Linked DNA regions of Drosophila melanogaster. The protein of the gene in region 1 interacts with the protein of each later gene in a pairwise test. Each region holds a gene or a part of one and is shown on either strand. Other genes may lie near its edges.

Region 1 (8,040 bases):
AAAAGTTCAGAAAATATCTTTTTATATGTAGGAGGCTTCAATATTTGTGAATAAAGCCCTATGATTTGGCTCCACTGTGCAGCGTCGACGTTGCGTGCATTTGGAGAAATGTGGGGGCTGCACACCAATACACCATACACCATACTGGCACATGCAGCAAACACACACACACTCGCGCAGACAAACGGACGGACTAGTACATAGGCAGCCTCACACACATTGGCTGGCGTTGTTGTTGTCGATTCGTTGGTGTCGCTGCTTTCCCTGCACTTGTGAATGTTGGAGTGTGTTGTGATGCCGGTTGCAGTCGCCTTGCAACTTGTTTGTGTTCGAGTTGCAGTGCGCTCGACGTAGTCTTAGTTTCGCCTTCCGCCTCTTAATTGCTTTTTTGCATTTCTGCTTGCCCGCTTTGCGCTGCGAATTTTATTGCATTTGTTTTGCTTAGTTTTTCGTTCTAAAGGGCGTGTGAGTGATGTGGATATTTGTGGACGGTACTCCGGTATAATGGTCTTCTAGAGGCTTGTGCAACTACCTAACAAAGGAGCTCCAATCATTTATATACAGTCAGTCAGTCGATAACCACTACATACGAGGAAATGGTTTCAAGTGGGCTATTGGAAATGGGTTTTAGAGGTATGGCATTGAAATATAGTATATGTATATACTTCTTATCTAACTAGGTTGGAAATAAAAGTGCAATTCGTGGCATTTCTATTACTCTTTTAACTTATGTATGTGCGTAAATATATTATATACATATATACATATGATATATAACAATTTTAGAAAGATATTAAAATATAATAACAATTAATGGAAAAGAGGAATTCTAAAAAACATTTTTTTTAATTTAATGGGTTTACTCAAACTTAAAGAACCAAAATATTGTTACCTGCTTAAATAAGTTAAGCCTATAAATATGTTGATACTCGTAAATCGATAAATGGCCCTCTAAAGCACAAAAATAAAAAAAGCTTTACATCAATCAATTACATATCAATAATAAAAAAACCAAATAATATAAGTAATATAAGTAAAAAGTATACATGGGAAGAATGTGGTTAATATTTCTATATTATATAGATAGGGAATATAAGATTCTTCTACACTTCTTGTCCACTTTCTCCACACCTGCTGGCGTGTTTGATTCGTGTTTAATCTAATTTGCACTTAGTTTGACATTATGGTGACTCATTGAACTTGCCTATGCACACAGATTCACACTCAAAATGTTTGACGATTGATTAGAACCTAATGAACGAAAGATAGGGAGAAATATATGTGACATAGACGAAAGCCAGTATCGATGAGAATTTTAATCTATTAGCTAGGTGACATGTAGTGTGAGCGTTTGTCTGTCTCAATTTTCGTTTGCTGTAATGACTTAATTTCGGAGTCTAAAGAGTTAATACCCTGTATTTAAATGGAGGGTAAATTGAGCATGAACGATGTGCTGATAACGGGTCTCACATTCGTGCTAGCACCAGATACCCGCCCCCTTCTTCCACCGCCTCCCGCTGGCCACGGCAAAATGTTGTTATTTTGCCTGTGTGTTTAAAAACTGCACAAGATTGCTTATCTTGCATGTCGCCTCTAATTTGTATGAGCTGAGAGACCCGCAGAGAAATAATTCCTCCGAAGAGCCACTTTAAGAGAAAGACCCTGCTGGCTATCAGTTTTCAATATTTGTGTTTGGTGGAAATAATGACAAATATAAGCAGGGAAACAGTGGTCAAAGTTGCCAAAGGAAAAGCGGATTAAATTGATTACGGGCGAGCATAAAAAATGTGCAGCTTGCGCATGTATGCTCAATTAATTTGTCTAAAGCGGAAGAGATCACGATAAGAACCCACTTCAGGTTATTAATGGGCCAAGGACAGCTCGGCGTTATAAATGGCAAAAGCACCTTAAGTCGATTATATGATAATTGCAAGTGGGGTGCAGCTTAAAAAGTTGAGTACAGATCATTATAACTGTGCACTAAGAAAAATGCATTTACAGGTATTTTATATTTGTATATATTCTTGGGAAAATGTACCAAGCTCAGATTTATATTATACTAAAATATTCGTCTTGCTAATATGGTTTAATAACTTACTTAATATAAATCTATGAGTAAAAAGTCTGCATGTTTGCTGAGGAGTCAAACGGCATGCTAGGTTCTTATACCTTTTTTTTTAAGACTACAGACAGGTGTACTCGATCTTGCCATTTGCGTCATCCGTCTTCATGAAAGTCGAGATTTCGTGAGTGAAAGCAAGCTGCAGTTTCTACTAATGATCTCTTACGCCCACTAAAATATGAGTTTTAACTTAGCAAGGCTAACTATGTTATTTCGACTACAAATGACAAGAATAATAGCCAAAAGAAATGAATAATTATCCCCAAGATAACACAAAATATTAAAGGTAAACTGTCCTTTCGCGCTATACACAATGAGCATTGGCAAAAATTTAAGTTCTAATTTACATATATTTTTTATAATTGCAGCACTCGTGAATAATCGATGGTAAGCTTTAAAATTAACAAGAAACGCCTTCGCTTCAACTTTAATTTGAATAAAAATATTCAGCACGTGTTTATCGTTTTAAGCCAGTTGGTTTCCGTATTTGTCATTTGCATTTTCCTCATAACCACTTAGACCTTGGTCCAATTTGCCTTATATGTATGCAGTCATCTAGGATAGCCGATCGCAAACGACAATGGCAATGGCCTACGCTATCCCAATCTTAGAAACTAATGCGGGAGTCTCATAGTGTGGCTGTAAAACGCGACCTGTTGCTCGTTTCCTGTTTAATTTGGAAGTCAGACAATAGCCTGAACCCCTGGCTCCCCCCCATTCAGCAGTCATACCGCCAGTTGTAGATGGCAATCGCTGAGCGTACCTGCTGCTATCGCCATTAAGCCTTGTACACACGAGCATTTATGTCAGGCAATTACAAGGCAGTTTGCAACGCCCCCAAATGCCGGGCAAAAAGGTGGCAAAACGGAGCGGAGTGGTGGCACATTTTGGCCGCAGAGCGCTCGTAACTCATCGTTCACTTACCAGGTACAATGCCAATTGCATGCACTCGCTAGAGTATCTCCAGGTCCACTACTAGACCACTAGCAGTATATGTATCTGTATCTGCATCTGCGATCTGCCTCCGCGAGGTGTGCTTTGCTCTTGGTTATGCAAGCAAAGTGAGAGAATATAGCACTAGCACTCGGCGAACTCGATGAGATACGGGGAGTCCGATCGGCTGGGTACGAGACGGTCAGGAGTGCTTCGTGGACCGAGAGTGAGAGTGTGAAGCCGGTAAAAATTTATTTCTTTTATTTGTTATCTTAAACCGTACAAGCTGTAGCCGCAAACGACTTTGTTTAGCATGGCACTCGCGGCTCGATCTGGTTCCCTGTAGGTCAACGCATTTTAGAGATATTTTCGGACCTCGCACAGCAACTAAAAACTATCGCACAGAATTTTGTACCGAATCCGCTCCAGTTCTTTTCACTTCAGCTTGAGATTGTGATTTCGAGCACGGAACGCGGACGGCGCGAGACGCCAACGCGACATGCACGACCTGCAAAGGACGATCGATGCCAGCAAACTGGTTGCGGCCACAAAGCTAAAGCTCCCCGTGCACGATACTAACACTCGGACCAGTACCAGTCCGACTAGCAGACCAAAAGACAGCGGACAGATACACGGACATTCAGGCGGACGGGCGGACCTAAAACTGAGCATGTGTTTCTGGCACAGAGACGGGCCCACCGACTGGCGACGCAACGCTCTTGCTATTTGTATTTGCACTCTGGTTGCTGCACCGCGAAAAAAGAAACGAGTGCGAGCATCCAACCTGCTCGACTGCTGGATGCACTGCACATCAACTGGGAGAAAGCAAATTGGTTTGGTACCAGATATGGATACCCTTATTTGACCGTTTTCATTGTAAACCCTTAACTATGCTCTTTTCCATAAGTAAACCATGCTAAAAATAACATAATTTAAACACAATTCTTACAATATGAACTATGAACTATAAAAAAGTATTGCAAACTATTAAATCGTATGTAATATGAGCTAAATTCGCCGCGAAAAATATAGGTTCCGCACTGCGGATACTTAATTCTCCTTACCTGCGTTGCATACTTTTAAGGGCTAATTTCCGCTAATATCAGCCAAATAAAATGTATTTTAAAAAATTATGTATTTGAACGGAAAATGTTTTAAAATATTCATTACTTCTGTGTTGCTATTTAATATGTGAAATACGAAAAACGGTCAATTATTTTAAATACTAAGTAAATAGTTTTTAAACAGAAACATTTATACGATAGAAGGGCATTTCTTTCATCGGTTCCCACGATTTTTAGCAAACTCATAAGCTCGAAGCAACGTTGGTATGTGAAGAACTCAAACGAAAGCATCTTGGGCAACAGAGAGTTACGGAGAGAAACGGGTCTGCGAGAGTGTAAAGTGCATTTGCCCCATTAATGGGGAGCATAAAACATCGAAGACGTGCTCTTCCTCTCTGAGCGATTCTCTCTTGAAGTTCGCGTGTTTTTTTGCGAATCTCTGCGAGAAGCTCGAGTGGAGCAACTTTGTTGCCGTACATTGACGTCTCCCGCCTGCATGTGCCGATCGTAAATTTGCACTCTGGTCGCTCTCTCTCTCTCTTCCGTTCTCTTTCCGCGTGGCGCGAGAAGAAGAAGCGCCAGATATGGGGAGCATCGAATCGGGTTTGGGCGTCTAGCCGACGATATAGGTCGAACCACTCAGCTGGGTTTCGGCCTGCGCCGCGTATTTATGCCACCTTTAGACGCAGCGATTTGCGTGTGTCGCACTCGCATTTATCACATTGAAAGGTCCCCTTTCATCGTCAGCCGTTATATTAGTCAGGATCGTTTATACAGTACGGCGGAGATAATTTTGCCGAAGCTCGGCTCCATTAAAAGATACTTCCCTCAGGCGATGCACGCAACTCCCAAAAAGGTAACCAAAAATGGTCGAGAGTTCGATTTTTGGGCAGTGAATCGATTTCGAAAGGGCCTTCGGTACTTCAGTAGTTTCCCATTGGTGACCAAATTGTAGGGGAATGAATGGCTCAGCGATCAGAAAACATTAAGATAATACTCATTAATTAACCGTTTTTGATTCTCGTTTAGTGTTTCAGAGACAAAAGTTATTAATTTAATATTTAAATAAATGAAGTGATAAAGTGACTTAAATTTAATGAATTTATGTAATTATTTTGACTTGCTCATACAAAAATTGAATTTAAAGAAAATTACTTACTTATTATATTAACTATCAATATCATCGAGGTAATGTGAAAACTTAATATAATTGCATACTAGGGTACTACAACATATTATTTAAAAAATGTTTACGAAAGTGAGAGCGGAAGGCTTTGTCATTGATTTGCATGAAACTGTATATATTGCATAGGCAAGGGGATACATTTTTCATCCAAATCCGATTTACATCTTCACCAATTGATCCCGTGCCGATTGTAGAACGATAAAATTCACATAGCTTTAAAGGCGCATTTCTTGCACCATTTCTTGTACCTTGGATCGCACAAATTTTAGCCCTTTTTATGGCGGAGTGTCGAAAGAGCTTGGCTGGGGGCATCTGCATTTGCAATCTCATAAATCAATTAGCAAAGAGCGGCGCGGGAAGAGTATCTCGCGGATACGCATCCGAATCGAAACTCGTTTGGCCGAGTGCGCTCTCAAAAAACGCCAACAAACTTGGGGCAGAACGGCAAACAACAAACACTCGGGCGGTCAGAAAAAATGCAAATTGCTAAGGAAATATTTATTTATGATCTGCTCTCTTGCTCCCAGTTCCACTCTCTGCATCTGACAGATACTCTTTTTTCCTTGTAGGACCTTTGCGACCCCCGCATCGATCATCAGCGTTCAGTGTGTTTTATTTTTAACAACTCCACACTCACCACAACCGACGCATCGGTGGCAATTGCAAACATTTATACAAATTGACGTTTAGCTGTCGCAGTTGTCACCTCGAAAGCCGCACCAAAGATACACGACACAGCGACGACATCGGGGAATGCTGCCAAGTGCTGGGCGCAGAATTCTCCGGATGACCCGGCAGCCAGATAAAGGTAATCCAAGTTGCCAACCGCAGTCTGCCTCCGCAGACACCTCACCCCGCTGCCTACCATTGCAATCGCAATTCCCCGCGAGCGACTCGTGTTCGTGTTTTATAATTGTTATGGCCATTCTACAAGTTGTTGTACATTGTTAGCGACTCGGAAGGAGGTCTTTCGGCTTAGTTTGCGGTAGTGGGTAGATAAGTACACTGAGAAAAATTGCATCTACTTTGAATGTATTACTTTAGGTCGAAAGTGGCGGAAGAAGTTATTACCATAGAATATTTTTAGAATTTTATAACCAAACTTTCCTTGAATTACCATATTTTTTAATGAATCATGCTTTTGAAAAAGAGTAATAGCAATTTGTATTCAAATGAAAAATAAGGAATATTTCATTTTAGTTTATAAATCATATTTACCAGAGATATCACAATTTTTGCGTACAACCATAAAAATCCTCACTATATCGCCAATTTTTTCTCCTGTTTAACTGGGTAGCCAGTCGAGTTGCTTAGGCATGCGAATCGTACACAAGTCTGGCGCCCAGATCGCAAATGTATATCAACCGCTGTCAGTTTGCATTTCCACCGAACGGATCGGGTGAATATGTACACGAAGTCAAAACTGCTTCCGTGAAATTGTTAAAGTTGCTATTCAAGATTAATGGGGAAATTTTCGGAGTTCATGTAAAACAATTTTGATTACACCACACTTAACTAAACAAGTGGATGGTTAAATTCCACAGAAAAGAGCACTTGTGCAGCCCTAATCGGATTTTCAAATAATGTTTTCAAGCTATCCTTGTTATAGTTAATTATTTTGTTTAAATACACAGCAGTAAGTAAATTGTTTTAACTTACGAAACATCTCAATTAAAATGCATTTCAAAATTTTAAATTGCGGTCTTAAAGATTTGTGTGTTTATCAGTTTTGGGCCGGCGTCGGGAAAGGCTCGCCATCCTCGTCCTCATCGCTTGCTTTTTGATCTCACTTCTTTGGGCTTTTAACCTGGCTAATTTTCAGCTCCCCCCTCTCGTTCGATTGGTGGGAAATTTGAGATGTTTTTGAAGCCGAGCAAATTGGTAGCTTAATGACAAATGGGGTGCCAAAAAACGTGTTTTATGTTCATAACCAAGATACGCAGAGTTATTTAAAGCAGTCAGGCACAAGATTCCGTCAGGCACACCAAAAGGAGGAGCAAGAACGGAGCAGTCCTCGACAGCGATGGCAATCTGCATATAGAACACAACCAAAGGACAAACCTTTTAACCGACCAGCGGGCGGAATCCGTGCGGGGAGAGGGTCCGATGTTCCAGGAAGGGGTTAAGGGGTCTCGAGCCGAGAGTAATTTACGCTTGCATGCAAATTGAAAAACAGTCGAGAGCAGGCACTGGACATTGGGGGATCCTGGGGTGGGATAAGTTCCGGACTGGACCGAGCAGAGCTGATTGAGCGCCGGGATGATGCATTTTAAAACAAATTGGCACAGTTTGTGAGAGGTGGCCAGTTGCTGTCGGTCTGGGTCTGGGCTTGGGTCTGGTGTGTCGGTGGTGTTGTGTTGTTCGTGGCGTGTTTGTCACTCAATTAGATGCAACTCATTTAGACGCTCTTGCATTTGGCCGGCATTTGTGTGCACAAAATGTTAATCAAAGCCTGATGGGATTTTTTAGGCCAACTAATGATGCCATGCTGTGATGAGGCTGGCGCAGGGAATGCTCATTGGTCATTGGGTGGGTTCCGTTCTGCGCACAGACATATTGATGACAGTCGCTCAATTAATATGCAAAATTTATTCATGGGAAAGTTCAAAACAAACAGAAATACGCACCAGCAACATAGAGCTGAAAAAGTATGGGGCGCAAGAAAAAAGGGAGTTGGCTTTTCCGATAAAAAATCAATACAAATTAGCCGACTCATTTGGCTGTTTTTTTTTTTC
Region 2 (5,723 bases), 600 kb from region 1:
GATAAATTTCATGAAGAGTGTGTCTTCAAGTATAGTAGACTTCACTGAGATAAAGTGCAGTAATGGTGAGAAGCTAGTCTCGATTAATCAGCATATTGTGTGTCCATCTGACCTCTTTTATTATTTGGCACTCGCGATCTCCCTAGTGGCCACGATCATTGCCTTAAACTTTTTGATATGGTTCAGACAACCGGTCCTGGTCTGGTTCTATGAGCACGGTGTGTGTCTCAGTCTGTCAGCCAAGCGGGAACTTGATAAGGACAAAAGGTTCGATGCCTTTCTGGCGTTTACCCATAAGGACGAGGCTCTGCTGGAGGAGTTCGTGGATAGGCTGGAACGTGGTAGGCCCAGGTTCCAACTCTGCTTCTACCTGCGAGACTGGCTGGCGGGCGAATCTATTCCCGATTGCATTGGTCAATCTATAAAGGACTCGCGGCGCATTATTGTCCTCATGACAGAGAACTTTATGAATTCCACTTGGGGTCGCCTCGAGTTCCGACTGGCCCTCCACGCCACCTCACGCGATCGGTGCAAGCGTCTGATAGTGGTGCTCTATCCAAACGTGAAGAACTTCGACAGTCTGGATAGCGAGCTAAGGACCTACATGGCATTTAACACCTATCTGGAGAGAAGCCATCCGAACTTTTGGAACAAGCTGATTTACTCGATGCCGCTACTACCAAGCTACGTTGACTAGGACATTACATTATTAATTTCAATAAGAAACAAAAATATATAATTTGTTGTCTCCCACACAGTTTATTTTTTGAGATTTACATAGTTCCCGGAAGTATTCCGACAGGTTTCCGGGTCAACTGGTTTAGCAGCAAGGACCGCAACCGCAAAAACTGCTGGTGCCGCCGCAGCAAGGTCCACATCCTCCGCAAGGACCACAGCAGGGGCCACACCCACCACAGCAGGGGCCACATCCACCACAGGGTCCGCATCCGCCGCAGGGGCCACAGCAGGGGCCCTGATAAATCATATTAAAAGTATTCACTCGACTTACGAGACCGATAAATACATACCCCAACCAAAACGTAATTCGGGTTGACGTACATGTACATGATTTTGTTTCTTAAAAGATATTTCCCAACCGGAATCGAAAGGAACCGAAAATTTAGGTGTTAACTATTGAAGGTGGAACGGAGAACTGACTGAATGTGATCCAAATTAGCCGAAGCTTCATTTGACAGCAGTCATGAGAATTTCAAGGCTAATATGATCCGACAAATTATATTCATTATTATTATTATATTCTGGTATCCCAAAACCCATAATCTAGTTAGCTATGGATATTTTCGACAGTTGTCAAATTCATATACCAACTTGTGAGTCAGGTTTCCATCATTCTTATTTTGGTTCTCGGCCTGTAATCATCGAAATATTTTTTCGTCCTAAGTTATTTCTTTGTTAGGTTCAAAGTGAGTATTTCTCAAAGTGTAAGCATGCGAAGTTTTAACAAAATTTTTCTTAGAACTTTACGGAACCATCATGTGTTGCGGACCCCTTGGATTCTGCGGACCCTGTAGCCCGTGCGGCGGTCCTTGCGGACCTTGCGGACCCTGTGGTCCTTGCGGTTCCTGCTGTAGTCCTTGTGGATCTTGCTGTGCGCCTTGCGGCCCTTGCGGTCCTTGCGGTCCTTGCTGCGGGGGCTGTGGTCCATGCGGGCCTTGTGGACCTTGCTGTGGACCTTGTAGGCCATATTGCGGGTGCTGAACAACAACCACAACATGTAAAATATCTTTTTCCTGTGAACCACAAAGTGGAACTTAGGACTGAATGCGGATAAACTCTTCTTAGCTCGCGGGCCTAGTCAATAAAATAAGAATTTCAAAATACCTTTTCCGATGGTTTTTCTCTTCTAAATGGTGCAACCTTTGTCTTAGCTATGGATACCAAATGCGTGACAATAATAATTTATGTAATATAATTGCGAAAATTAAAATTGTCAATTCTTGGTGGATTGCGATCGTTAGAGGGGGCGGAGGAACATCCTACGTTCATATCGACTAGGCTTGTGATCCAGCTCAAGAATAAATAACCTTTTCTTCTATTCACTATAGCATAGCTATTACTCTACGAGTGGCGGGTATAAAACCTGCAACCGTGAATTTAAACCTCATTCAATAATAGTATTTGTCTGCAAACGGACAAATGTCCGATAACAATAATTCTATAACAATAATAACTATTTTTAACCATCAACCGCTGTACATAAACATAATTCGAATTCATAGTAGGCTATGGAAATCGTTCTTGACCTGTCAGACCCACCTAACCTTGTAAGTTCGGAAAATATATCATTCTCATCTCGACCCTTGTGCTGCTCGCATCAAAATTTTGTTGTTTTGTCCCAAATACTTGTTTTTTTTTTTTGGCTTCTAAAGACCGTTGGTAAAAATGTTTATTGTAAAGTTAAAATAGTATACATATTTATTTCGTTTATTTTAGACTTCTCGAATTAATCATGTGCTGTGGACCTTGTGGATCGTGCTGCGGATATTACTGCTGTGGTCCCTGCTGTGGACCTTGTGGACCCCGATGTGGGCCGTGCGGATCCTGCTGTGGACCCTGTGGACCCTGTGGACCTTGTTGCGGACCATTTGGCAGTTGTTGCGGTGGCTGTTGGTGCTAAATGCTCGCAATTGGCAGCCGAATCGATTTGTGAAACCATACCACAATCCCACCATGGTTAAACTAACACCTGAAAGTTAAAAGCCACAAATATATATATATGTATCTTAATGCAGATCCATGTTATCATTGGGATAGTTCACCATTGCTCTTACTCGGCGTTACTCGTTGACATAATAGGAATGCGTTTCGTAATATGTATGTGGGTGTAGGTTTCTTGATCAGGAACACTAGCCGGATACTAAGCGAGCAGATTGTATTGCGCTGCGAGCACAAGTTGCTATATGGAAATGGTTGAGACGTTCTTGGTAATACCATTTTATTTTACACGAATGACGTCTCAAGGTGATTGATTCTGCCTTCCGACGAGCTTCACTAGGACGTTCTTTGTTGTTCCCATCTGGATCAGTTGTACTGCTTGCTACGGCAGGACATTTTCTTAAGCACGTTATTGTAAAATTCACTAAAGAACAAAATTAAATTCCTTTTAGGGCATTGATATAAAATTTTTATTAATTTTGCATTTGTTTATTTTAAATCTAGAAGGCTTTGAATCTATATTCTACTTTCCTGTGCAAGTTCTATGTAAGCAAACATCAGTTTTCATCTTTCCCTTAACCCAAGAACATCAAAATTTGAGCTCTTTTCCAAGCTTTTTAGGTTCAGCACTTTGTACGTAGTTTTTTATTTAAGAAAATTGTTGGTATAATAGCTTTTCTTTTAGTTCTCAGAAATTAAAAAAAAACATGGGCTGTGCACCGGGCGGACCTTGCTGCGGACCCTGTGGACCGTGTTGCGGACCCTGTTGTGGACCCTGTTGTGGACCCTGTTGTGGACCCTGTTGTGGACCTTGCGGGCCCTGCTGTGGCCCCTGTGGACCTCGTTGTGGCCCTTGCGGACCCTGTGGACCGTGCTGTGGCACTATGGAAAAACGAAATGGCCTTCAGCGGTGCTGTCCTTTTTAGCTGTGATTTCCCGAATAAGCAACCAAACTGTGTCCAAAAAAAGATTTCATTAGTCTATTGTGACAAATAAAGGGGAACTATGAAAACTATCAAATTAATGGATCTTAGCAGGGAGCCAATGTAATCATTGCAATTTCATTCATTCACACTCCGTACAAGAACTATAAAGATTACTGCTTTTCCTCTGCTACCTTTGCTTCACAAGCCGATGACGAATGACAAGCCAATCCAAAAAGGCAGTAGCTGAAGAGAGAAGCAATCTCCATAGGACAATCACCATAGGACAATAGACCAGGCTAACACTGAAGCCTGCGGCAATACATTCACACACGTAATAGTTGCATTGGGCTTAAAAGGAGCAGTTGGTTTATGCCAACATGCTCAGGTAATTGGGACGATGCAGTTGGAAAATAAAAAGTAATCCTGCCCTTGCAGCAATTAAATTAGCCAAATAGGGGATGTTAATTAGTGTCAAGTACCTTGAAGTAAATGGTGCCAAAAGAGGCGTGGCCGAGGCCAATCAAAATGATTTCCAAGCAATGTTACTCATACGCCCCATGTAGCTGGTCCCAGTCAATTATTAATGGCTGCTCGGCGCGAGTGCAGACTGCTGACATCTCAATTCAGGCGAATTGTTTATAGTATGCAAGCAATAGGATGCCAGAGGAATATCTGGGGAACTGATTTTCATCATTCATTTCGCCAGTCGACTTTTCCACTTTCCACGCTGAATAATGAAGGCAGCCATTTTAAGTGTGCGCCTGCGAGGCACTGGCTCTCCCGATGACGCAGTTAAGGGAATTCTCGGATATGTAAGCTTCTAGCATTTAGGCCTCATACAAATGTATAGCGCATCCTGTTATATGAGTAGCAGACGAGCAGGATAATCAAGTTCCGGAAGGGGTCGAATTAGAGCTGCCTGCCAGAATCGCAGTCGAAACGCTTAATCAGTGCTATATGCAAGTGTAATCCTAGAACTCGCATATGCCGCAGCCGACTATTGCTGTACTCAGGGAATTCGGGGTCAATCCCTGCAGAAATGTTCGTACCAATTCAGAATATATGTAGAAGTTAAAAATCTGCGGTTTTGATACTTTAATACTTTCTCAATATACTAGAGCACTATATAAGTCCTAACTCCTCATACAGATATATATATTTTGGATCATGTGAAAAGTTTGTAAAGTTTAAATATAAAGTTGAGAAATATTTTGTAAATGCCTTGAAATAACACTTTGAAATATATTTTCTAATCTCAGTTAGCCAGTTTAGTGGACAGTTGAATTGTCCCACCCAAAATTTTTTGTTTCCATCAGCTGTGTAAGGCCCGGTCATCGGACTTCGATCACCAGAAATTTCCGCGGCTATGAGCGAAGAAATCAGAACAAATCCTCCGAGAATGTGGAGCAGGTCTAGTCCGTCCCGCGTCGTAGAAGCCGCGATGATTGGGGATGGTCCGCATGTGTTACTACCACGTCAAAACAACCCAAATCAGCCAATTTCGACGGCAGCAAATCAACGTCCCCGAACATCAACGTCCCGACGATTGAAGTTTCTGAGAAAAATGGCGTTCAGCAACAAAATAAGGAGCTTTGGAGGACCTGCATCCAGGTTTGGTTCCCTTTCGCACTCGGATTTCGGAATGAGACGAGAACTGCGAGGCGATTTCCATTGGCCGATGATAGAGAGCTGGCTTGAGTTTCCCACCTATAATAATGAGGTAGACGAGGATAGTGGTGAGCTCCACGAAAGTAGATTGTTCACAGATCGACGCCACTGGGGACGGGCTCAACTGTACTTCCAGCAGTATCTAGGGATCCAGCACCGCCATCACCACGATCCGAGATCATTCTCCCTGAAACTCGGTCTAAGCCCCGCACACATAAAGTCCATTTACGACGCGCTGTATGGCATGGGTCTCAAAGAGACCTTGAGGCTGGCCTTCAACGAGTTGCTACACTTGCACTAGCTTTGGGGACTTTTTTGTTCCAACTATCGGTAATAAAATTTAAGGCTAACTTTTTATTCTTAATGTGGCAACTTGCTCCTGAATTGTTCCCACTGGAAAACCCTTTAAAAAATAGCACTCAGCCGCCGGCAAGTTTTTTAGCCAAGATATTT

The links. Proteins that work in one complex are often made in the same cells at the same time.
Region 2: the proteins of dsx (region 1) and Mst84Dd interact in binary tests that used the Drosophila melanogaster proteins (3 or more experiments, as listed by UniProt).

What each region holds. Positions count from the first base shown.
Region 1 is NT_033777.3:7,963,417-7,971,456, forward strand, and holds the start of dsx (doublesex), read right to left. Parts: upstream 3,993-8,040; 5' UTR 3,047-3,992; intron 1-3,046. UniProt on the Drosophila melanogaster protein: Controls somatic sexual differentiation. Binds directly and specifically to the FBE (fat body enhancer) of the yolk protein 1 and 2 genes (Yp1 and Yp2).
Region 2 is NT_033777.3:7,361,277-7,366,999, reverse strand, and holds Mst84Dd (Male-specific RNA 84Dd), read left to right. Parts: upstream 1-3,226; 5' UTR 3,227-3,309; intron 3,310-3,361; 5' UTR 3,362-3,383; coding exon 3,384-3,602; 3' UTR 3,603-3,693; downstream 3,694-5,723. Other genes in the region: Mst84Da (Male-specific RNA 84Da), read right to left, coding at 821-973, 1,029-1,067; Mst84Db (Male-specific RNA 84Db), read left to right, coding at 1,495-1,719; Mst84Dc (Male-specific RNA 84Dc), read left to right, coding at 2,471-2,638; CG17944 (uncharacterized protein), read left to right, coding at 4,969-5,571.